Linked DNA regions of Drosophila melanogaster. The protein of the gene in region 1 interacts with the protein of each later gene in a pairwise test. Each region holds a gene or a part of one and is shown in the gene's direction. Other genes may lie near its edges.

Region 1 (8,288 bases):
ATAAAGTTCGCTCTTTTCGCCGTTCCGCTCTTGGTTTTCCTCTAGTTTCCTTTAAAGTCCTACGCCGCGGGCTATCCTGCACATGCTACTGTGGTTTTTGGGCCGCTGAATTACGGTTTTGTTGTGGAAATATTCGGTTTTCTATTTTCTATTGTGCATGAGTTTTTCCACAGCAGCTTTTGGTGTGACCGCGGTTCGAGCGACAAAAAATACCTTGGTGGCCAAGGAAGAATACCAGAAAGCTTAGCGTTGGCAACGCGTTGACAGGGTTGTCAGCGTTTGTCACATTAATTTAAATTAGCGCGGTTTTTTAAAACAGAACATGTATTTATTTATTTATACTTTTAGTAATTGAACTGCATGACACTTCTTTAGTATGATCCAAAATTTCCATTCATATACTTGGTAATTTTCCTTCATTAGCAATCTTAAGTGTAAGTGCTCACAATTTACAGTTCTTATCTGTTTAAAATGTTTAATTATATCATGTAATCTGGGCTGGCTTAATCTAATGTTTTCTTATCGTGAATTCATTGTTGGCTTAATCTTATGTTTTCTTCTTGTCCATCGAAGATAGATGCATTTGTACGAGTATGTAATAAAGAAAAATAAAAACATATTCTGAATTTTGAATTTGTAATGATATATTTTCCCATTACTTAAGCTTAGTTAACTTAGCTTATTTAACAAGTAAACACGAGGAAACGCAGGTCAATATTTGAAACATTCGTTTGAAATACTACTGATACAAAATAATATCAAAACACTTTTCGAAAGTGTGCGCGTAACAGTTTTGAAAGGTTTGTGAATTATAGAGTGGGCGTGCCAATCTTACATAGCGTAGAATCTATGTACATACCCTCTAGCTTATATAGTTTTTTATTTGTTGATCGGGATGTTTATACGGACAATCGCTTCAAATGGTTACACATGCTTCTCAACGAATCAAGTATCAGGTGTAAAATCTTCATTTTCTGCAGCCCAACTTAGGAAAGTTACCCCAAGACAAATGTTTGTGGCTACGCCGCTGCATTTCGTTGGCTTCCCGCAGCAACATCAAACAACCATAGATACCATTTACTGCCCATCTGACATAATCTCTTGGTTAAACATTTCCCCAGCCAGTTGCCTGGCTTCCATCTCGATTCCATCTTCATTTCGCTGCCAACGAGCCAGCAGAACGGTCATGAGCCCAGGAATCGTTAGCCAGGAGGTAAACGGCCGCCAGGAGCCAACAGAAGCTGCGAGGGACGAGAGACATGGACGACGGCGCCGGGTGGCGGTTATTGGAGCAGGACTTGTGAGTGTAACAAAGTTATTTGAAGTATACAATTATTACTCTGCGAAAGCATAAATAGATTGTGGGTCTATAAATATAGCGAATGAAATTTAGTGTTAATCATTAACAAAATAATATATAGTCTATATTTAGAGTAGACCGTAGTACGGTTATAAACAGGCAATAATTCTAGTTAAGCTTCATAATATCTAAAACTAAGCTTTGCTAATTTGCTAAAATACACATCATAGTAGTAGAATTATAGAATTCGAATTCTTTTCGAATCATTCCTAAGTAATCTTTAAATTATGCTGCATTTTGATGTGTCTTCACATATGTAGTTAGATGCGTTATCTTTAGTGTTTTTAAATCCCTGCTTCCAGATATAAGGCTCTTATCACGCTTTCTACGCATCTTATTCTCCATAACACTAGGTGGGTTCTCTGGCAGCCTTGAACTTTGCCCGCATGGGCAACCACGTGGATTTGTACGAGTACCGGGAGGATATCCGCGAGGCCCTAGTGGTTCAGGGCAGGAGTATTAACCTGGCTCTTTCGCAGCGTGGCCGTAAGGCGCTGGCCGCCGTGGGTCTGGAGCAAGAGGTGCTGGCCACCGCCATACCCATGCGAGGCAGAATGCTCCACGATGTGCGAGGAAACTCCAGTGTGGTCCTATACGATCCCATTAACAATCAATGCCTGTACTCCGTGGGACGTCGACAGCTGAACGAAGTCCTTTTGAATGCCTGCGATAAGCTGCCCAATATACGCTGCCACTTCGAGCACAAGCTGACAAGTGCCAATCTGCGAGAGGGATCCATGGAGTTCCGCAATCCCGCCAAGGAAGCCGTAGCTGCCCATGCTGATCTTATAGTCGGCTGCGATGGTGCCTTCAGTAGTGTGCGCCAGCACTTGGTCCGTTTGCCGGGCTTCAACTACTCCCAGGAGTACATAGAAACGGGGTATCTGGAGCTCTGCATACCCTCGAAATCGGGAGACTTCCAGATGCCTGCCAACTATCTGCACATATGGCCGCGTAACACCTTCATGATGATTGCCCTGCCGAATCAGGATAAGTCTTTCACGGTCACGCTGTCCATGCCCTTTGAGATCTTCGCTGGCATTCAGAATCAAAACGATCTCCTGGAATTCTTTAAGCTGAACTTCCGGGACGCACTGCCACTGATTGGAGAGCAACAGCTCATAAAGGACTTCTTCAAGACCAGGCCACAGTTTCTGGTGTCCATCAAGTGCCGGCCGTATCATTATGCGGATAAGGCACTGATCCTGGGCGATGCCGCCCATGCGATGGTTCCGTACTACGGCCAGGGTATGAATGCTGGAATGGAGGATGTCACGCTGCTCACCGACATTTTGGCCAAGCAGCTGCCACTGGACGAGACGTTGGCCCTGTTCACCGAATCCCGCTGGCAGGACGCCTTCGCCATTTGCGACCTGGCCATGTACAATTATGTGGAGGTGGGTTTTTGGAACTAGAATTTATATAGTTTCAAATTATATTTCATTCTTTTTTCTCTACCTTGCAGATGCGAGACCTGACCAAACGTTGGACATTCCGGCTGGACCTACTACTCAAAAGCTCTAAAAGCTTTTCTTCGCCGAAGGTAGAAAGACATGGATGGTTTCGAGTATTTAAAGAGGGGGAGCTTAGTATGGTCAGAGAGCGAGAGAGACAGCGAGCTGCTCATTTCCGACTTAATTGTTGTTGCTAATTCCGTTTCGCGAACTTTTCGATGGCACTCTCTAGAATTGTCGGCGCCTCCGCTTTGCCCACACTCACTACAGTGGAACGTCGACGAGAATAAGATTTATATGATATGCAGTTAATCACGTACATAATCCTCTTACAAAATGGCGTGTACATAAAACTTAAGGTATGAAAACGTATTTAAACTCTAGAAACTTCCAGATAGTGACAAACCATTATTTACTAATGTTAATTATACAATGAACGGTGCCGAATGTCTTGTTTATGGTTTTGTATTCAACTAGCGTAAAATGTATCGAACGTTAATAGAGATTAGACTTTAAGAACGTTGAAAATTAACCTATTAATGGAATCGAATAATAACTCTTATTTTTCTGAACCCAATAGCTGTGAAATAAAAATATACATATGTATGTGTTTTAGCCACTTTTTATTTAAAACAAATGGCCAGTGATTTCAATGAGTGCCCTTTCTAAGTGAAAGTACTTTTAGGCAGGCCTTACTGTACCCACTGTACCGCTGCCGCCGTCGCGCGTCTTCGCCTGGCCGGCGGACCAATGGAGCAGGCCAGCGCCATCAGTTGCTCGTCACATGTTCGACACTCAAGTAGACCAAACACAGGGAGCTGTACAGTGCCCACCGAGATCCGATCGAACGCAGAGCAGCCGTTAGACAGAATATTGACTTTAGCAACTCACCAGGAGTTCAGTTAAACTTGCACAAACTAAAAATTCCCATAATCCAACCGGAATATCGCTCTTTTTAGGCAGGTGCAAGTGCAACTTTGTTCAGCCCTTTTTGCTGTTAAATCGAAAAACCACATTCTCGAAGCTTTTGGGCAAGCTTCCGCAAAACGAAACGATCGAAACGCGTGGTCCGAAAGCAACGAAGCAAATACGGCAACAGGCGAGCGAAAAAGTGAAATTGAAATAATTCCAAATCAAAAATCAAATTCCAAATCGAAAATCGCAAATCACAAAGTTGGAAGTTGAGTGAGCGAACGCGTGTGTTTGTGTTTGTGCGTAAGTGTCCCTCAGTGTGTGCAGTGCAACGGTATCGTAAGACGAAAAGTAACGGTAACCGAGCAATTGGGGTGTAAGCTGTCAGAATCTGTGCGCAGAGAAAACCGAAAGTTTTGGCTTGTTACCTTGCCGTAGTAATCCAAAATCAAAACCGAATACCGGATTCACCGATCGCCATCCTGGCCCGCCCTTCGACTTTAGTTTAAGGCGCTCTGCCAGCGGTTCGCCGGAACGGTAAACTCCCCCCACACCCTGCTGCCCGTCGTCGTTAGCATACCGATACCGATAGACCACCGCCGATAGCGATACTTTGGAAATTCAGCAATCCGTGCCCCACTTTAGCTAGGATTCTGTTCGGTTTTAACCCTACGAAGAAGGAGCACCCGGCGGCGGAACCCGAAGCCGTTCTGCGTAATTTTGGATAATGCGCGACTAGGCACGAGCTGTCCGAATTGTTCAGGTAAATACATTCGTACATATATATGCATATAGGTGCACACACAATCACCGTTATTGATCTCGCTCAATTAGTGGGTCTACGTGACTGCAGCGCCGATTCTCAGGGTCCGGGGTATTCGCAGATCGCATCGTGCCGCATGGTGTTGTATTCTGTTCTGCCTATAATGAAAAGCAAACCAGAAATGCGGATAACAATCTAGGCACACACCACAGCATACACCTTTCCCTCCATCTTCCCCTTCCACCCCCCTGCTCATCACTTTTGGGTCTCGGTTAGTCTTGGCATCTGGCATTTCCGGTTTCGCTATTTTTTGTCGGTGTAGATATGTATGTATGTACAATATGTAGATGAAAACACCTTCAGATATTATTCAACCCGAAATCCTCTCAAAGTGGTTTGGTTTCCTATATTTTCATTGCAGTACATATTTTGAGTACATATGTACATACATACTTAATGCAAAAAAAATAACTTAAAACTAGAATTCGAAACCAAAATTTTGCATTTAAAGATGAAACATCAATTTGTATATTTGGTGCATTTTTGTTGTTCTTAAAATAAACAATTTAATCAATCTTTTTCTTACATTTAAATATAAAACGTTTGTACTCTCTTGAATAAATAAACTTCGTAGAACACTTGCTGTGGGCAAAAGTTCAATAACAATGCAATTTAACGCACGTGGGAACCCCAAATGTTGTTATTAGTATTTATTTGACACAAAAACTAATATGTTAGCTCGTTAGACAAGAATAATTATCGTCGTTCTTACGTTCATCCATCACTTTTGGGTTCAAGAACGGTTAGTGTTCGATAATTCTGGAAAAGCACTTAACTGATTTGAAAGAGATCAGTTTGAATTTCTCTCATTGCGATTGAGTCATAAAGTCTGGTAAATAACAATAAGAGTAGCCCGAGAACTGTTTTATTTCTATACCCTTACAGAGGGTATCGTAACTATTCTCATAAATTCATTGGATTGGTTCTGACCCATTTGTACATACAATTTACATACTTACATATATCCATATCCTATTGCTACTGATAAACTTCAGTAGATGCTAGCGAATTTTGAACTTAAGGCGATTTAAAGAGTATAAAATATTTAGACGGATTTCGCGCACTTTTAAAGAGTTTAATGAGCAATCTTAGCAGTTTATGGGGAGTCAAAGTTATTGATCTTGTGGTCAGTTTAGCAATCATCACACATTTACTCGGCGACTCGGTGTCGAAAGGAAGAGCAAGGGGAAAAAATAAAGCATTCCGATACGAAAACTTACATCATCGGTCTGGGGGATAGAATGAGATGGAGGGATCAAAAGAGGGAGAACCAAATGGCAAGCATTTACATACCAACAAACATGGCACAACGGCATATGTACATACATATGTACGTATGTATGTACATGTTTTTATATATTATGCGCTATTTTTCGGCTTTTTGTTTTTGCTTTTTCGAATGAACGCAAGAAATAAGTAATACGAATTGCGCGTTTGAAAATGGTGGAGACTTTTATACTTTTAGCTCCTTTAGGAACCCACAGCAGTTAATCAAAAACAAAATGTGTGATAAAGACTCACAAAAAAAAGGGGTGGATGGGCACATGTGAGGAATACGCTTTCATAAGTGATTTTGGCTTCATTAAAATAAATCAAATGCATTTAGTACAAATAAGCAAAGTCTCGAACGGAATGGCGAAAACAATTGTTCGAGAAAGCAAATAACCAATAACTAATTTTGTTTCTTCCCCTTTCTCTTTTCTCTCTTTACATGGTGATCGCTGCCGCTCTCTCCCTCTCTCACTTGCTTATCTTGCGGTAAATGTCATCCAAACCAAAAGGGGTAGCAAAACGAAGAACAGCAATTTCGCCGAAAAGACGCAGTTAAAAAAAAGTGTTAGCAAGTGAGAAACAACATTCGTGAATTTCGTGATTAAAAACATTTCAAAAGGTGTACAACAAAAGCTCATTTAATATAAAAATAAAAAGAACGTAAGCGAAATATACAAAATATAATATCGCAGCGCGCCAACAACAAAACGTGGCACCACAAACTAAAAACACAAAAAAAGCTCAACGAAAACGAGAGCGAATGCGCGAGCGCGAGTGAGAGGGCCAGATAAGCGGAGACAAGAGCGACAACAACAAAACACAAGCGCAAGCACGATCCAAAAGCCAATTGCGCACGGAACGTAGAACGCAGAGAACTAACGGAACTGTAGAAGCGCAGCACGGATAACAGTTAACAGGGGCAATCCAAAAATGGTAAACAAGAAGGCGGACAAGGACAAGGAGAGGCAGCAAGAGGCAATGTTGCCGGCGGCGGGCAAGAATAGCAGCAACATTGAAAACAGCAGCAAACTTAGCAACAACAACAACTACAACAACAACAAAACAAACAAGGGCCAATCCACAAAGCCTAACAGCAATAACAACAGCGGCAACAACAAAAAGAATGCAGGCAAAGGAAATCAGCAGCAGTCGCAGCGCAGCGGCAAGAAAGCGAAGCCGCAACGCCAACAGATATTCCTACAGTCGCTGCCACGCGACAGCAGCAACTACAGAAGCAACAGCTTCAGGAACAGCATCGACATAAACAGCAACAGCAGCAACATGAGCAGCAAGAGCAGCAGCAACATGAGCAGCAACAGCAGCAACATCTCGGACACATTGGCAACATTGGACAGTGGAGTGGGAAAAATTAATCCCGCTGAACTGCTGACAGCCGCCTTGGCCGTGCCCTGTGCCAAATGCTCCAAGCCATCGATGATCTCCGGCCTGACCACCGCCGTAACCGCATCCACAGTCCCCGCATCCGCATCCAGCTCTTCCGCTTCTGCCTCCTCCTTTTCGTCGTCGTCAACCAGTTCCGGATCGGAGACCGCCAGCAATCACAGCGATCTCCATTACCCGGAGCCGGTTGTCTACTCCGCCAAGCAGTATCGCAAGTCCAAGTCCTACATGGGCGTATCCCAGTACAACAGCTCACAAAATGGCCATCAAGCGGGTCGGGCGCCCAATACCGCTGGCGGTGGTAATGGCAACCACGTGGCCTATAGACGCTCCCACAGCGACCGACGCAACTCGTTCGATCGCAGCTTCGCCGAAAGGAATCGTGACTTTGTGCCCATCGTCCCACCGCCGCGTCCGGTCCTGTCCTCCTCCAACATCGCCGGAGTCATGGCCAGCACCACCAAGCTGACGATCATAGAGCGGCTCGGCAAAGGACGTCTCGCGTATCCCATAATGCAGGTGAGTCCAGAACGGTTAGCACAGATATTGTCTAGAAGTAAGTTTAAGTTATTTATTATTCGATGGGCGGGGTGTGTGCTGTTTATTTGCGTTGACGAACTTATTTATTGGCACAGTTGGCAGTTTGACTTTAGTGTATCTGCTATCTGCTATCTTTAGAATATAGAGTTTGAAAACCTGCAGGCTAGGTGGTGAACTTGAATAGTAGATCTTAGCTTAAGCCCAAAAAAAAAAAAAACGACAGAACCTTTGACTCGGGGAAAAACGTGGAAAGAAATCACCGCATTTCTTGGAAAATTTATTGATTTATATCACAATATATTCTGAAAACGAAAGTACTCAATTATGGGTTTAGAACAGGAAATACCACAGAAAAATGCACATTGAAATATGATAAAATGTAGTTATTTATAGAATATCTTCGAACTTAGTTGTGATTTTCAAGTGCAAATGGTATGATTTTGATAAGGTAATGCGCATTGCATTTATAGTTCGGCTAGACGGTCACCATTAGGCATTAGAGATGCTTGGGAGTACATATTGATGG
Region 2 (8,599 bases), 4.7 Mb from region 1:
TGGCTTCGCCTGATCAACCTGCTGGCCCTGCTGCTTTAAGCCGTTGGTGGCTTTGGTGGGAGTCGCGGGTGGTGTCGGTGTGGGCTTGTGATTACAATTGTCACTGTTGCTTCCACTGCTGAGCTCGTGATCCTTGCTGTTGTACGGAATAACGCCGCTCGACAATATATCCTCGCTCAGCAGTGCGGGCACGTCGTCCACTTCCCTGCCGGTCTTCGGAGGACCAACACTGTGACCAGTGACTGAGGAGCTGTTGATCTCGTGCTCGTGCAGCAGGTCGAGCAGATATCCTAGGAACTCGGAGCTGTCCTGTTGTAGGCCGGGCGTGAAGCTAGGCGGCCGGGTGGCGTTCAGCACTCGCGAAGGCGTTAGTTCGTAGCGCAGCGAGTGATGCATCAGGGCAATCTGCTGCTGCACTTTCATGAGCAGCACTGAATTGCACTCGATAAGCAGGATTTGCCTGCTAAAACTGCAAATGGAAAATGAGTATATGTAGTTGTAAGAAGATAAATAAAGCCAATAAGCTTCGTAATCGTAATTATTTTCGTAATCGGAAATTGACACCTAAAACAGATTTATAAACAGTGAGCTCTTAAACAAAAGGTGCTGGCAAGGCAATGCAAATATAGAACCGAGTTTTAATCATAAATATGAGGCAAAGATATTATTTTGCGCTTCTACTTTGGGGAAATTAGAAGTGGGGTTTCTTCATTTGATCTTTACTTACTCGCTGGTCATGGCTAGCGCCTGAAGTACGCTATTCATGTAGCAGGTATTCCCCAGGTTAACGAGTCCAACCCTCGCATTCCGCCGACCCCACGGCTGGGCATTCTCATGCATTGCCTTTGCCAGAGCCACGCAATTCGGAGAGGGCTCATAGGTCTGCAGGGCTTTCTTGGTTGCGACATAGAGCTCATCCTGATCATAGAAACGTAGCATTAGGGCGCTGGTTAGGTCGACCAGTTGCTGCAGACATTTCTTGGTTTCCAGGCCAATCTCGTCCATGGTGGTCGACTGATTCTTCACATACTGCAGGACTCGTGGGATCCTTGGCAAGATCTAATAGGGTAACCAACCAAATGTCAATAATTATGTTGAAGCTAATGTTTGAGTGAAGTGTTTACCTTGTGAAAAACCTCGGGGGTCTGATTAATCGTTGACAGCATGTGAAACACAACCGGTGCGGCCTTTTGCCTCAGCGCCGGAAAGATCATCACGTGGAACAGCTTCTCGATGTTGTCCATTGCAATCTCGTCGAGCAGCGCCATTTTGCCCTGATCCCTTAGCCCCTTGAGCAGCGCCAGCACCCAAAGATTGAGAGTGCTGCAAAAGGTGCAGTACGTGATCCAATCACAGAGCAGGTTCACCGTCTTCTTAATGCTCGAGTCCTGCACATTCTGTTCCAGCAGCGAGTGTACAGCCTCCAGGATCTGCGTGGAGTCGAACAGCTGGAACACAATGGCCACGGCACACGAGGGTGGTGGCTCGAATGGCGACTTGGTGATCAGCTCGTAGACGACACGCAGGTAGAACATTTGGTGGAACTTCTCGTTGCGCGTAGCCAGAAAGGCACCGACCTGGCAGACGTCTTCCTTTAGGCGTGGACAGGATGCGCCTCGTGGAATTTGCAGACGGGCCAAGTCCACGATAACCCTCTCGCAGATGGCCATCACATTGTGGCCTTGCTCCGGCATATCGATGCTTTGGAGGTATGCCAGCAGGGCCTTAATATCCCGCTTGCCCGATCGGTTGGAGTTCAGGCTCTCGCCAGCGGGCGAACCCGTGTCCATGCCCTTTGGCAATACGTTCTCTTCGGCATTCGCCATTCCGTTCGCGGACATGGGTTTGGCGTTGGGCGGAATGCCGTTGCCAGCTCCTCCGGCATTATCCGAGGCATTATCACCCGCCTCGCTGTTATTCTGCTTAACGGCCATTTCGCGTTTCAATCGCTTGGCGTGGGCGTGGACGTGAGTGGCACAAAGGCTTGCGGACCACAGGGCCGACTGGAACTTCCAGTTGCCGATGGGCGGAGGCGTGGGCTTGCCTAGCGCCCGAACACAGCGGCTTTTTCGTTGCCTGCGACTCTGAGCGAGGAGTCTGAGCCGCGTGTCCTTGAACCGCGCTCCGTTACGTGTCGTCGTTACGATTTGACTGCGACCTTTCAACGGGTCTCGAGTGCGCCTCGATCCCTGCCCGATCCTGGCCAGAAACTCCCGCCACAAGCGCTTTAGAACAGAGTCCTAGACGAGTGTGGTGCACGGTAGGGTCGGTGGCCCGTGCCACATCTAAGGCGCCCCTTTTTTCGGATTACCCTGCTCGGCTTTAGCTTCGATTGCTTGCTCACACGTCGCCCGTTCGACTTAATAACCCGAATAGATTTGATTCGCCCTAAAAACTACAATTTTGACTGTTTTAAAACGAATTCTTTGTGATATTTTTCGGATTTGTTAATGTTGTCTACTGAGTCAGTGAAAGCGTTATCGACACGTTCAGACTGAATGACGGGCAGGGCGACTCTGCACGACAAGTCGGGGTGGGTGAGAATGAGGTGGCACAAAATTTGTAATTGCATTTATATGGTGAGTAATACATACTAAACGAAATAATAGTATTTTGATTTATGTTGTTATATTTAGCCCATAAAATAGTAAGTTAGGTCTTACAAACAGCGCTACCAGATCCAGTCAAAATTGAGGAAGCCTGAACGTCTATAGGCCTCCCAAAATGGCGTTGCCATGAAAAATGACAGCTGTTCGCTGCGAATGGCTATTTATGTTTGTTTTGACTCGGCTTTCGAATATATCGCAAAATATATACAGGAAACATTTATATTCACAAAAATCTGTACGATGCACCCAGGGCAAATTGAGGTCAACGAGATCAATGGCTATTGGACATTTCTGCTGAGCGTAAGATACTCGCCTATATACAATCAAAAATCAAGAATCCGGCAAGTTGTCACTATTTTTGCAGATCGATTGGAAGGATCCCTGGCTTATTGGCCTTATTTTGGCGCATATCTTAACCACCACCACTGCGCTGCTCAGCCGGAACAGCTCCAACTTCCAGGTTTTCCTCTTCCTAGTACTGTGTACGTGGACTTGGCGGCTTCCTTGACTTACCCGATAAATGACTCTGATTTTTGCATGTGCTTCATCTTCCTCAGTGCTGGCAGTCTACTTCACCGAAAGCATCAATGAGTTCGCTGCTAACAACTGGAGTTCCTTTTCCAGACAACAATACTTCGATAGCAACGGCCTGTTTATCTCGACAGTTTTCTCAATACCTATTTTGCTTAATTGCATGCTTTTGATTGTAAGTTATAGTGTTTCCACTGCATGAAGTGTGTATTTATCTTTGCTTATTTGCAGGGCACTTGGCTCTACAACTCCACGCAGCTGATGGTGACTCTAAAAACAGCGCAGCTCAAGGAGCGAGCTCGCAAGGAACGCCAGACTAAGGCGGATTCGGAATCCATAGCACATAAAAAGGCAGAGTAGAACTTACGCCTGTATTACATGCAGTTAAAAGCACAAGTAGAGCTGTGAAATTATATGTTATGCTTTAAATGGATTTTCCTGTCATCTAGATGTAGTTTGCTGCACAGCTCTCGTCTTTAAAATAAATTTAATTTAGTATAATCAAACTTATAGAATTTGTAAATTTAGGCTATTTTTACATCCTGTTTTACTTAGCGAAGTTACAAACCTAACATGCCCTTCATATTAAGCAAAAAATCACACCAGTTACCGTTGCCACCTTGGTAAAGCAGTTTTTACTGCCACCTAAAATTTTCTATATATATCACGTAATATGAACTATTTTGATATTTTTGACGAAATTAACATTATAGATCCAATCAGCTTATTGCCTGTATCAATTTCTGATCTGTGTGCCAAGACTGTAATTTCAAATTAGAAGCTCGTTGGACCTGTGTCATTTTTTAGTACGAATTCAATTGGGAGCCCTTCGTCGTCTGGTAACACTGTCCAACGATTTTGTTGTTGCTGGCTTGTGGGTGTCGAAGCAGTGTCGCGGCGCAATGTTGGAAGTGGTTTTTGGGTAAACAAAATCCGTTGATAAGATATTCGCACGGAGCTAATCGCAAATCGCGCTGCGTATTTACCGTTGGCAAGCCAGAAAAAAGTTTTGCATAGCATTGCGGTTTAAAGCCAGGCTCAAAATTCCTGCGAGCTCGCTTGTGTGTGTGCGTTTTTGCCGTCGGTGTGTATGTGTTTTGAGCCCATAAGCGTAGCCCGAAAAAAAGAAGTTTTTCTGTTACCATATTTTTTACCAAAGGCCAAAAGGGCGCAGCATCTTCGCTCTCTATCTCGGCGCTGCATCTTGCTCTCTCGTTCGCTAACGCGAGTTTGGCAACTCCGTTTACCGTTCATCGTTTATTGTGTGTAAACAGCAGGTGAAAATAAAACGCGATAAGTGCAGAGAAACAGGAGAAGGAGGAGAAAGAGCAGCAAGAAGAAGCAGCAACTCCGCGCAGCCCAACAAAAAGTGACGTATTAAAAAAGGTTGCTAATTACAAAAGGTAAACAACAAATAATGTGCGGATTATATTACCAAATTCCCGGGCATAAACAATACCAATAAAATGTTGCTAAGATTGCCCTTCCACCCCCCTCACTTACCCACTGAAATGCGTAGTAGATTTCCGCGATAGGAAAACTCGGATGAGTGACGCGTTGGCGACGCAGCGCACAGTGTTCATTCATAAAAAGTGTCTGCCCCCCTGCGCCCACTCCCAAAACACTCCCCCCTCCCCTCCACACTTTGAACCAAGCCTGTTTGTGGTTGCGCCTGGAATTTAGTTTACAACTAAATATGTTTGCGGGCAGCTAGGAGGAAAGTTCGGATTTGGTTGTTTTTGCTATGTGGGAAACCATAGTTAAACTATTTGCATTCCGTTGGAAAGTCTAGTGGTTCACGCCACGCCCCATGTTCGCTCGTTCACGAAATTATGAAATTGTGTAAATTATATTAAAAAGCTTAACGGGTATATTGATATCTCCTCTATAATACTTCATACAAGATAAGTTTAAGGAACTGAAATGTTTGAAGTTTTAATGAATTTCCTTAACTATTGCGTCTGGTTGACATCCAAGTTCGCATAGTTGAAAAATTCCATATCAAACTGAGCCGCATGCCTTAATAACTAGACCTTTTGCTCATTGAGATTAGATCACATACCGCCATATGGCAGTCGGTGAAATGATTAGCTCAGCGAATAATTAAGCGTCGTGCGAATGAAAAGTCACACACACACACACTGCAACTTGGTGTTTAGATTAGAGCATTTTGTATCTTAGCCCACCTTTGGCAATCGGTGATATCGAATAGCAGGAAAAACAATAATACGGAATTTATGGTCAGCGTGTCGCCAAAATGCCAAAGTCAAGCGAAATAAATACATAGAAATAATGAAAGAAAAAAAACAATCAAAATAACTCGGTGACATCATTTTGACTAATCGCCAATTTTAGCATTTGAAAAACGGCGGCTGCTCGCCCGGCCCACCAACAAGCGCGCGAAGGTGCGAAGGAGAGAGTCCACCAGGGAGGGGGCTGCGAGCGAGTGCGGGAGTGGGAGCGAGAATGAGAGGGGGAACACTCGTGGCAGGTGCGCCAAGCCGAAGTTCAAAACGAAGCTCAAACCCGAATGCCAAGCGGCATTCCGAACCACCTACAAGTCGGCAAGTAAAATGGATCGAATGCTCTTGCGATATCAGCGAGTTTCACTTTCGAGCCCCTCATCTATACACGAATACTATCTGCAATCGGAACAATCACTAGATAATCCCACGATCCAACATTAAGCGCATTGCTTTTATCACAGGTATTAAATCAAAGCCATGCATTTGGAAAAGTGCGCTTGCCATTTGCCAAATTTAAGTGGCTTTAATTGGCTGGTTTTTACGACTCATTGGCATTATGACGATCTTTAAATTTTACGATTAAATGCATAAATCAGGTGTTGAAGTGTAGTGCAAGTGGTTGCTACATATACCCCTACATAAATAGAATCACTCCAGAAAAATATGGCATTCAAGTTGAGTTAACTACTGGCTTGTATTGTAAGCTAAGAAATTGTTAAGTGGTAGCTATTCTCAAAAGCTTGCGCACAGGGGTGCCTTTCTTTAACTCATTATTATATCCATTTATATCCATTACGATCAAATATTCGTTATATATGGAAAATTGCCTAGCCTACCGTGACTCTATTGCCTGCCTGTTGATATTTCCCCCGCGGCAACTTCGATCCGATGCAATTAACTCGAACATATTGTGGCTCATTACGAGGGGCATTCCAATCTGAAGACGAAGCGACTCGATCTAGTTCACAGATACAGAGCTGCATACACGCATCCCACTGGTTATTTCGGTTAATTTTGATGTGTGCTGCTAAGAGCCGAGAGTGCAGAGGACTAGGCACCACTGCTCCACATCCCCAGATATTTCCGACACTACGTGCGCTGCGATGCGACGTGTCGACCGGGTGGGTGGAAATTTGGAAATGTTGTGAAAAGCTAAATGAGGCGTGACACGAAAAAGAAGGCAGAGGGGAAAAAAGAGCAAAGCGACAAACACGCAGAGCAGCATGGAAAAAAAAAGAAAAAAACAAACAAACAAACAGAGCTGAGTGCGGCCACCCACAACATGACAGCCGCCACAACAATGGCCATAGTAGCGTCGAGGAGCAGAACGAGAACGTGGTGCCCACCAAATCTAGCCACGGAGTAATTTCGGCCTAGAAAACAAAGAAAACGAAGAAAACTGCCCAGTTGTCTGCGGAAAAGACAAAGGAAGAATGGAAAACCAAGAGAGCGGAATGAAAAAGGGGGACCAATTCCGCACAAGGCGCACAATTAACCCTTTCTTTGAAGTCAGCGGCGAATGTATCCACTGTCCACTTTCCACTGGGCTTTAATTAGTTTATGGAACAAGCGTCCCGGCTCGGCTAACTGCAATAAAATTAATCGTTTATGCTGTAATCGCATTTAGCGGCGCCGACCTCCTTTCCACTCCTCTCCTCCCTACTCCTCTCCACACCGGATTCTGGCCCGGATTTCCACACCCGCAGTGGCCTCGTTTGATGTATGGGATGTACATACATTTATCGCGGGCGACAACTTTGTTCTCCATAACCAAGAGGCAGTCATGTGTGGGCATTCCATTACAGGGGATTTTCGCTAGCGATTGGAGCGTAAAGCATCTGGTTATTTTAAGACCAAGCCCATAATAATAAACCCAAAGGGCTAACCATAATTGTTCTTGCTTTACAATCAATTTTGCTCAAAAAAAAGAAAAAGAAAGAAATAACTCAAGAAACCAATTAACCGCAAACAGTGAAGTCCAGAGTCCACGAGACGTACATGCTCAGCAGCAGGAGTAGCAGGATGCGCGACAGGATTGGCCACAGCAGCCAAATCCACTGGAGCACATCATGCAGCTGTCCGCTCCGTACGGAAATTGATAGCACGGGGAATACGGGCGGGGACCACAGGACCACGATCCGCCACGAGGACCACAAGATGGCGCACAACCACCTCTGCCTCTGCCTCCACATCCACCTCTCCCTCCTCCACCGCCTTGGCCGCCTCCTCCTCCTCCGCCATAGCGGGAGTCACAGAAGGTGGTGCCAAAGGGCCCGTTACCGCCACTCCATCCGCATCTGGTGAAGCCCGAGTACTCGCCATACGGACAATCGCCGCACGCACGCTCCGGATAGGGTCCAATGTAGAACGGATTGAACTGTCTGCAGCTGGACATGTTAGCTGGCTAATATCGGAGGTCCATCAATTGGAAGGCATTCGGTATCAACTACTCACATTCTGGACTTCACTGTGCGCGGCCAGTGAGCTCCTCTATTCGGTATAATTTCGATAATCGCCTCCAACAATTGCTTCGTTATTTCCCATTAAAAGCCGAAAAGCCAACTAGACTGCCCATAAGTATGGCATTCTATGGAGCCAACTGATCCGACTGATTCGATCGACAGCGGTGGGGGTTAATATATGGCCATTGTTTCATCTGGCGCGTGTTTTGTTTGTAAACACCGATCGTGGCCAATAAATATTTGGGCATCGGACTTCCGCTTTGCGAATGGGGGGCCATAATCTAAATATTGTTTATTTACAATATATGTGAAAAGCATTGGCAAGAATAGCATTTGTATATTTGTATATTGTTTATTTGAGTTTAGTGTGCAATAATCGAACTAACTAAAGAGGGAATATTAAATATTTGTAGTAGACAACTCTGTCCACTTCAAACGTGCTTATATCAGCACAGTGGCCTCTGGCTAAGCTGCATTGATTGGTCAGATTGTTCGTCGTCGTCGTCGTTGTCGTCGTGGCAATGCCATTATGTGTGACAGTTGCATTCCAAATCTCATTATAGATTTATGCAAAGTGCAGGAGGAAAGCTTGGAGAAAGGCAGCCGACTTGCAGACTGGCCCACGATTTCCATTTTCCATATGCGTGGTGACTGTTGACCACTTGGGCCCTCGTTTGCATTGATTTGTGGGGCTTTCTTTGTCATCCCTTTTTGTGGCAACCTCTTTTTGTCTGGGATTCGATTTCCAATC
Region 3 (6,721 bases), about 14 Mb from region 1:
AGGACACTGTGTTTGCACTCTGGACAAGGACAAGGCGAATTGCTCAAATAGTGGTCGAGACACAAACGTGTGTGCAAATAACTCATGCACAATGCACATTGATAAATCAAAGTCACTTAGCGTTGATATCGATTTGAAATTCACTTACAGCCCCGCCGAATGTCAAAGTACTGACCAAACAAAGAACTCAAAAAAAGCAGGAGAGCCAACGCAAGGACATATCATTTATATCAATTTAAATAACGACCTTTCAATGGTCAAGGAAAATCCCGTAAAAAGCTCAGCGCAACCCGCAGAGGCAAATGCTTAGATGGATGGTCGGACGAAGCATTGACAGTTGTAAGCCATAAACCACAGAAAATTGGGCATTATATTAGTTAAGATGCTGTCAAGCCGAAGGGTATCCCATTCCCGAGGACAAGGGACAGCCCACCGTGCAGACATATCGCTTTCAGCACGGAGCTAGGAGATAATCGGGCGGACCGGAGTATCCTGTGACCGGCACTAAAACACCGTTTGACAGGCAACGAAAGCCCGGAAAGCGGGAATCCCCAACATTGAAATCGAGACAGAGGAAAAGTGACCACCAGATAAGCAGAGCGCATTCATCTTACGGGAAATCCGAAGGATACGGGACAAAGACTAACCGGTGCGGTCAAAGAAATCCGAATAAAGTTAAACAAAAGTTGGACACACATATTAAGGGCTTAAAGTGTAGCCAGAAACCTAAAACAAGGAACTTATCTTGACAGCTCGACTGTGCACTTAACCAGGTTACCCGCAAAATACACCTATATATCTTGATCAATTTTGCTGGCGCGAGGAGGAAATAAAAAAACTTAAATCATAGCCAGCTTTTGTTCAGCTTTCCAACCTGGTTTCAGTCGCCTTTTTTCCCTCGGTTTTGTTTTGCGGGCTTTGTCTGCACCACTTTGCTTATCTTGGCCACACTTTTTATTGGTCACCTTTATTTGGCCTGACATCCCCCATATTTCAGCAAATAACAGCAGCAGAGATAAGTGGCAACCAGAAGGACATGCGAATTAGTTACATTTTTTGTGGAAAATATCCTCAGGAAAGGGTTCAAAAAGTAAGAGTTGCAACAACAGCAATGAAAGGGAAATCAAATCGTTAAACGAAAAAAATGCTCACTTAACTTTTCCATTTAATACGAACAGCTCCTAGAAATTTTGCACTTATCAAAATGTCACAAGAAATTCCAAGATATTTATGCCATACAATAAATTATGTTGCAATTTCATAAACCGCTTCCTCCGAATCAAACTGAAATTTACAACTCTATCAAAAATTATCGCTGCAATTTTTCAAGCAAGAATGTAAAAAATCAAATTTTCATTGACACCGCAAAATTCAAATTTCCAGCACTCTTCTCTCGTTTTTTTTTTTTTTGGAATTTCGAAATATCTCTGGGATATTTTCAAACATGACACCTGAAACTTTGGCATACAAATTTATGAAAATATTTGCACATCCATTTCACGGCTTGAGGGATGGGAAGGCAACACCTTTTGGCTTCATTGAACTTGCAGCTTCGCATTACACAAAGCCCGAGGAGGAGTCTGCTACCGCGATACACATGCAAATTTGTGTACAAACTGAATCAATTTTTACCGCGATAAACTTCGGCTCCACCTTTTGCGGTGGAAAAGTGGAGAGAGCACCGGATTTTACGGCACTGAGGTAACTGCAAAATGTTGTGTAAAATTTGCAAATGCAATAAATAACTCGTTTCGGTGTAACGAAAAAAAAAGGATTGCTTCTGCTGTTTACACCCCCTTACAAAGGCATGTAGCGATTCCTCTTTTTTCGCTTCTGTATCCTTTTTTGCTCCTGTTTAGGGCTTTCATCCCCCCACCGAAACCAAAGCGCGCCACATGTGCGAGTCTGGTTGTACTTCCTGTGGGTTCCTTCCTCTTCGGTTGGAATACTCTATAGAAATTAGTTATGTTGAATAAGTTTTAAATTTAAAAAAAATTTAAAACCATTAAGGTACTTGTGTTACTCTCAGCTTTAAGTTCTTTCTGGCATGGCTAAGCAAAAGAAAATAGTTTTTATTTTCAAATGGTGTATGGTATAGATCATAAAGTATTCAATAAAAAAAGAAAGGGTATTTTGAGCCTAGGCAGAACGCACTATGCATATTATCTCAATTTTTGTTTCGCTCTTCTTGTTTTTTGGAGTGCTGCAAAGCATCCCCGAAAGTATGCAAATAATTTTTGGCCCCAACTCATATTTGATATTCAGTGTCAGTTGTTGGAAGGGTTACCGAATACAAGTTATTGAAATTTGCATGCAACGGTTGGGGAGTTGATAAAGGGGAAATGGTTGGGCGGAGAAACAGCAGGCGTTGTTGAGGCAATTTATAGCACTTGTGTTAGGCGGCTGTTTCGCCGGAGGCAAAGTTCTCGGTTATTGTTTCGCCATATAAAAGGCGCTGGGATTTCTCAGCCCCAAAGGACGTAATTGTTTAGCAGTCTTCGGGCTTGATGATGTTCCCTTGATTTTTTGGCTGCGGAATTCTGAACAATCCCAGGGACTTCACCCTTTCGCACAGATTCCCAATTAAGTTTAGACCGGTTCAACGCTTTCGCATCCATCAGGATTTGGATGCGGCACTGAAAAGTTACCATCGCAACGCTAGCCGCACAAAAAAAAAAAGGACATAAAAACGCTTTAAATCCCTGGAAATCGCAAAAACTACGCTAATAACATTGTCATATGGCGGGGGTGATGGTGATTTTTTTATTTCCCTTTTTTTTTGGATTTTTGCACTAAACTTCGCTTATCAAAGTTGAAATTGCAGTTCGTTGCTGAGCGCAGCGCATTGGGGATTTGTCGGCCACTCGAAAACTCCAAATGCGAGGCATTTATTGTGGGGCAGGGATAGAGGATTTCATTTGAAACTCTGATACGAACAATCGGCGTTTTATTTGCCATTTTGGCGCTCAGAGTTTCATCATCGTACGCCACTGACCCAGTTCAAGCATTTATCACAACGGCACACACACGGATACAGGCGATTGTCCTGAGGGTCTGACCCCAGCACAATGAATGACCCCCCATATCGCATCCTCAACCTCTTCCCCCATTCCCTACCCCTTCTCTTCCACTGCCCGTCACACTGCTGACTAAGTGGACTTTTATTTCACTGCTATTACGGCCCAAGCAGCGTATACGCAATGAATAGTTTCGCTGTCAAGCTTTCGCCTTTTTCTGCCGCACTCGCTGGCCATCTTCAGTTGCTAAGCGATTTAGATTTGGGCACATATCTCACCGCTTTGGGTGGGTTATTTGCTCTCTGTGAGAGATAAAGAGCCAGTGGCTAAAACTCTTCAGACGCTTGCCTGAATCGAAATCATTGTTAAATGCAGATAACTACTGTCTGGCCCCCGGCGGCGTCCATTCATAAATTTAAGTCCAATAAACCTCCTCCTATCACTTATCTGCCGGTTCTTCACCTACGAAACGTCATTGACTTGATGACGTCATGTGTCATCTTTATGAAATTATAAATAATTTATTTCCTTTGGACAAGCGCCAACCTTCAACATGGAAATTTCAGATAGATAAGACTATCTACGACTTGCTCTGTTTCCCAGTTTATTGAGTATTGAGTAGAGTATGTTCAGTAGACGAACGCCTTTCGAGGGAACAAGTCGGCCATGAGCTATCAGAATTTACTAGGTTTTCTACTCGTGGTGGGTATCGAATATACACGAAACATCGTTAAATTAAAACATACAACTGTACATTTAAAATCAGAACAAAAGCTTTACAGCAATAAATCATCCAACATGTGTAGCTTGGTTAATTAACATTTTATAACACTCAATTCATACTAACTATGGCTTGAATATAAATGCTTTCATATTATTCCAGCTGACCCCTTCTTTGATCAATACCTATGGAGATCGAAGTCGCTATCGGTTGTATTTGCAATCAGATTACGCTCTGCAAACAATCAGCACTCAGCTAGTTTCCCAGGCAATCGAGCTGGTGGACTATGTGGTGGAAGATCTGATCGTCTTGGACTCGCAGAACTCCATTCTGTTGGGCTACTTGGATCGCTTCGATGCCTTCACTGCCGTAAATGCGAATAAAACGGAGCAGAAGCTAAATGCCTTCTATGGCGTGATTGAGGACTATCTAGATTCGGATACCACGGGAGATCCACTGAGAACTTCCAGTATCGAGACCCAGTTGATTGCGCTTTGCTTGCAGCGCAACGGATTCGATCGATGGAAGCGCACGGTTCAGACCCGGACATCCCAGCTTCAGAAGCTGATATACCGGAAGTTGAGGAAGCACCTGGAGTCCATAGACAGGGAGGATCGTTTGGCTGTGGAGCGCAGGTGGAGGAAAATCTTGACTCGTGGCGGACCCCGAAGATTGGAGAAGCTGAGGGAATTCGTCAAATGGCTGGGAAATTTCAGAGATTAGAGTGCGGCGGCCCGGGTGAACGAATTGTTAGGCAATACGATATGCCGTTTAGTGATAAGAAGAGTTATAAACATTATTTATGGGTGGGTGGAGCAAGAGAATGTTTGTGGTTTAAATATAACCGGCCATGACCTTGAGGTATTATCAATGAAAGCAATATAAGAACGAAGTTTGAATTTGCATTAAGAATGTATTTTAGTAATATTTATTATTGCTATGTTAAGCAGTTCCTTGGCTAGAAAGTGGATGTTCTTTATAAAAGAAAACGTATTCATAGCATTTGTAAATTGAACATGTACCAACGCCTGGCAGTAAGAAAGTGCATCGAAGCTATTATCCTTTTGTGTCCTTGCACTTACTCCCCCTCGATAAATGCAATTTTAGCACAGCACGTCCCCTTCCTCATCACTCGGATCATGTATGAGGGCATTGTTTAATGCACTTCACAGCTGGAGGAAACTTTTTCCAGGCCCTGTGTCGACGGCAATGAAAACTTTGTCATGCCTGGCAAAGAGGATGATAAACTTGGGTAAAAATTATGAAACTGAATATGGAAGCGTTGGCGAAATTGAGACAGCAAAACAACAGAGCCAACAGACAGGCAAAAGACATACGAGACTTTTAGCCAAGCGAGGACTAAAACTGAAACTAAAACTGATACTTTTTATGGATGGCAAGTGAAAAATGTAGACAGTTGCAGAACGACTTTCCGGGCGGGGGCCAAAGGCAGGAGGTGAACGGGATTTGCTGGGATGAAAGAAAAATGGCAACTGCATTTCCTGTCTGAGAGCTGACAAAGTGCTGAGTGCATTTACGACTTGGACTTGGGCGAGTGTTTTGTGTCTTTCCTGCAGCTGCAGGAGATGCCAGGAATTTATGCACTCAGTCCATAGTCCACAGTCCGCAGAGAAAGCTCTGGAAATTCCTGACCTGAGGCATTTTCTGTAGGGCCTGGGCTATTTTCTTTGGGCCATCTGATAATCGGCCCCAGCTGTGGCTAATCGGTTTACATTTGTCACACTGGCACTTTGGCCAAGGATTCTCTACTGGTAGATGCCACTTGTCCAGGAATCTGGTAAGTCCTGACGTTTCTCCTTAGAATTATGTTTGGTTAATGTTATATTGAACTTCAGTACATCCTTTTCCAATTACTCTGCCGTAATTTGGCAGGACCGCATTAATTTGTCGGCAAAATAATTCCTTTGGACTTCGATTCATACAAAACATATAATTTTATTAGCACAAGTTTCAGTTTTAATGACAGAATTTCAACGACAGTCAGGGTTCCCTTCCTATAAACTCGTCGCCTCGGCGTCTACAGCGAAAACAGAGAAAGGACTTCATACAACCAAAAAGGACGAGAACACCCATACAAGCACAGCAGGCAGCAATGATAAGAAAAATTACGACGAATATGAACAAAAGTCCCCAAGCACCTAGGTTAGTATCCGGGTGTCCAGTGGTTGTACGGTACGCCACAGTTGTCATGTTAAAGTCTATATATTCAATATCGTATTCAGATAGGGTTGTAGCATCCAACTCGGCCATAGCTTATGGGAAATAAATTGCAAATTTTGTTGCTTTCGATAATAGATTGAACCCTCTAAATGGAAGGAAATATGTATAAGGAAAATCACATTAAATTAACGAATGCTTCTCACCGTTCCTTGCATAGCAGCTTAAGAATTTCGATGACCCTGACCCTTCAGAAATTTTATTTTGGGTATAGATTTTTTTTTAATTTTAAGAGTACAGTCGCAGCTTACTGAAGTCGATATTTTTTTGTACTTTAAATTTGATTTTTGGTTGCCATATATTAAGTTAATAGATATCATTTCAAAATTAAGCTAGATTTTTTTATTTTTTATGAATAGACAACAATTTTGCCAATGAGCATACGGATGCTCCTAACGAATCTGTACCTGAGCACATTAAATTTATAGGCTTTCGAATCGCATATCCTAGCACTACGTACATATTAATAGAAACTTGAATTATCGCCGAATTAATCATCGTCCAAGGTGCAGTCCCCACAGCCGTCGCCACAATCGCCACACCCGCCGCCATCGCCGCAACATCCACCGCCGTCATCGCCGCAACATCCACCGCCGCCGCCTTCACCACAACATCCTTCGTCGCAAGCGAGGCACGCGGAGCAGGCGAGTCCGCAACAGCCGCACAGGCAGAGGAGCGGCAGGCAGATGATGAGCAGGCAGCAGAGGAGCACCATAACAACGATCAGGACAATAATACCGACAGC

The links. Proteins that work in one complex are often made in the same cells at the same time.
Region 2: the proteins of CG46385 (region 1) and Dyb interact in a two-hybrid assay, tested with the Drosophila melanogaster proteins (one large-scale study listed by BioGRID).
Region 3: the proteins of CG46385 (region 1) and CG13488 interact in a two-hybrid assay, tested with the Drosophila melanogaster proteins (one large-scale study listed by BioGRID).

The regions. Positions count from the first base shown.
Region 1 is NT_033778.4:7,777,928-7,786,215, reverse strand, and holds the start of CG46385 (uncharacterized protein), read left to right. Parts: upstream 1-3,578; 5' UTR 3,579-4,489; intron 4,490-6,330; 5' UTR 6,331-6,751; coding exon 6,752-7,741; intron 7,742-8,288.
Region 2 is NT_033778.4:12,433,348-12,441,946, forward strand, and holds the start of Dyb (dystrobrevin), read left to right. Parts: upstream 1-3,997; 5' UTR 3,998-4,042; coding exon of another isoform or gene 4,043-4,062; 5' UTR 4,063-4,543; intron 4,544-7,285; exon of another isoform or gene 7,286-7,388; coding exon of another isoform or gene 7,389-7,781; exon of another isoform or gene 7,782-7,790; intron 7,791-7,840; coding exon of another isoform or gene 7,841-7,842; exon of another isoform or gene 7,843-7,973; intron 7,974-8,599. Other genes in the region: DUBAI (deubiquitinating apoptotic inhibitor), read right to left, coding at 1-469, 728-1,059, 1,125-1,934; Tmem18 (transmembrane protein 18), read left to right, coding at 2,850-2,909, 2,974-3,091, 3,167-3,315, 3,372-3,500; CG30334 (uncharacterized protein), read right to left, coding at 7,389-7,781.
Region 3 is NT_033778.4:21,947,944-21,954,664, forward strand, and holds CG13488 (uncharacterized protein), read left to right. Parts: upstream 1-3,648; 5' UTR 3,649-3,683; coding exon 3,684-3,827; intron 3,828-3,900; coding exon 3,901-4,461; 3' UTR 4,462-4,619; downstream 4,620-6,721. Other genes in the region: CG43405 (uncharacterized protein), read right to left, coding at 5,740-6,009; CG13494 (uncharacterized protein), read right to left, coding at 6,467-6,721.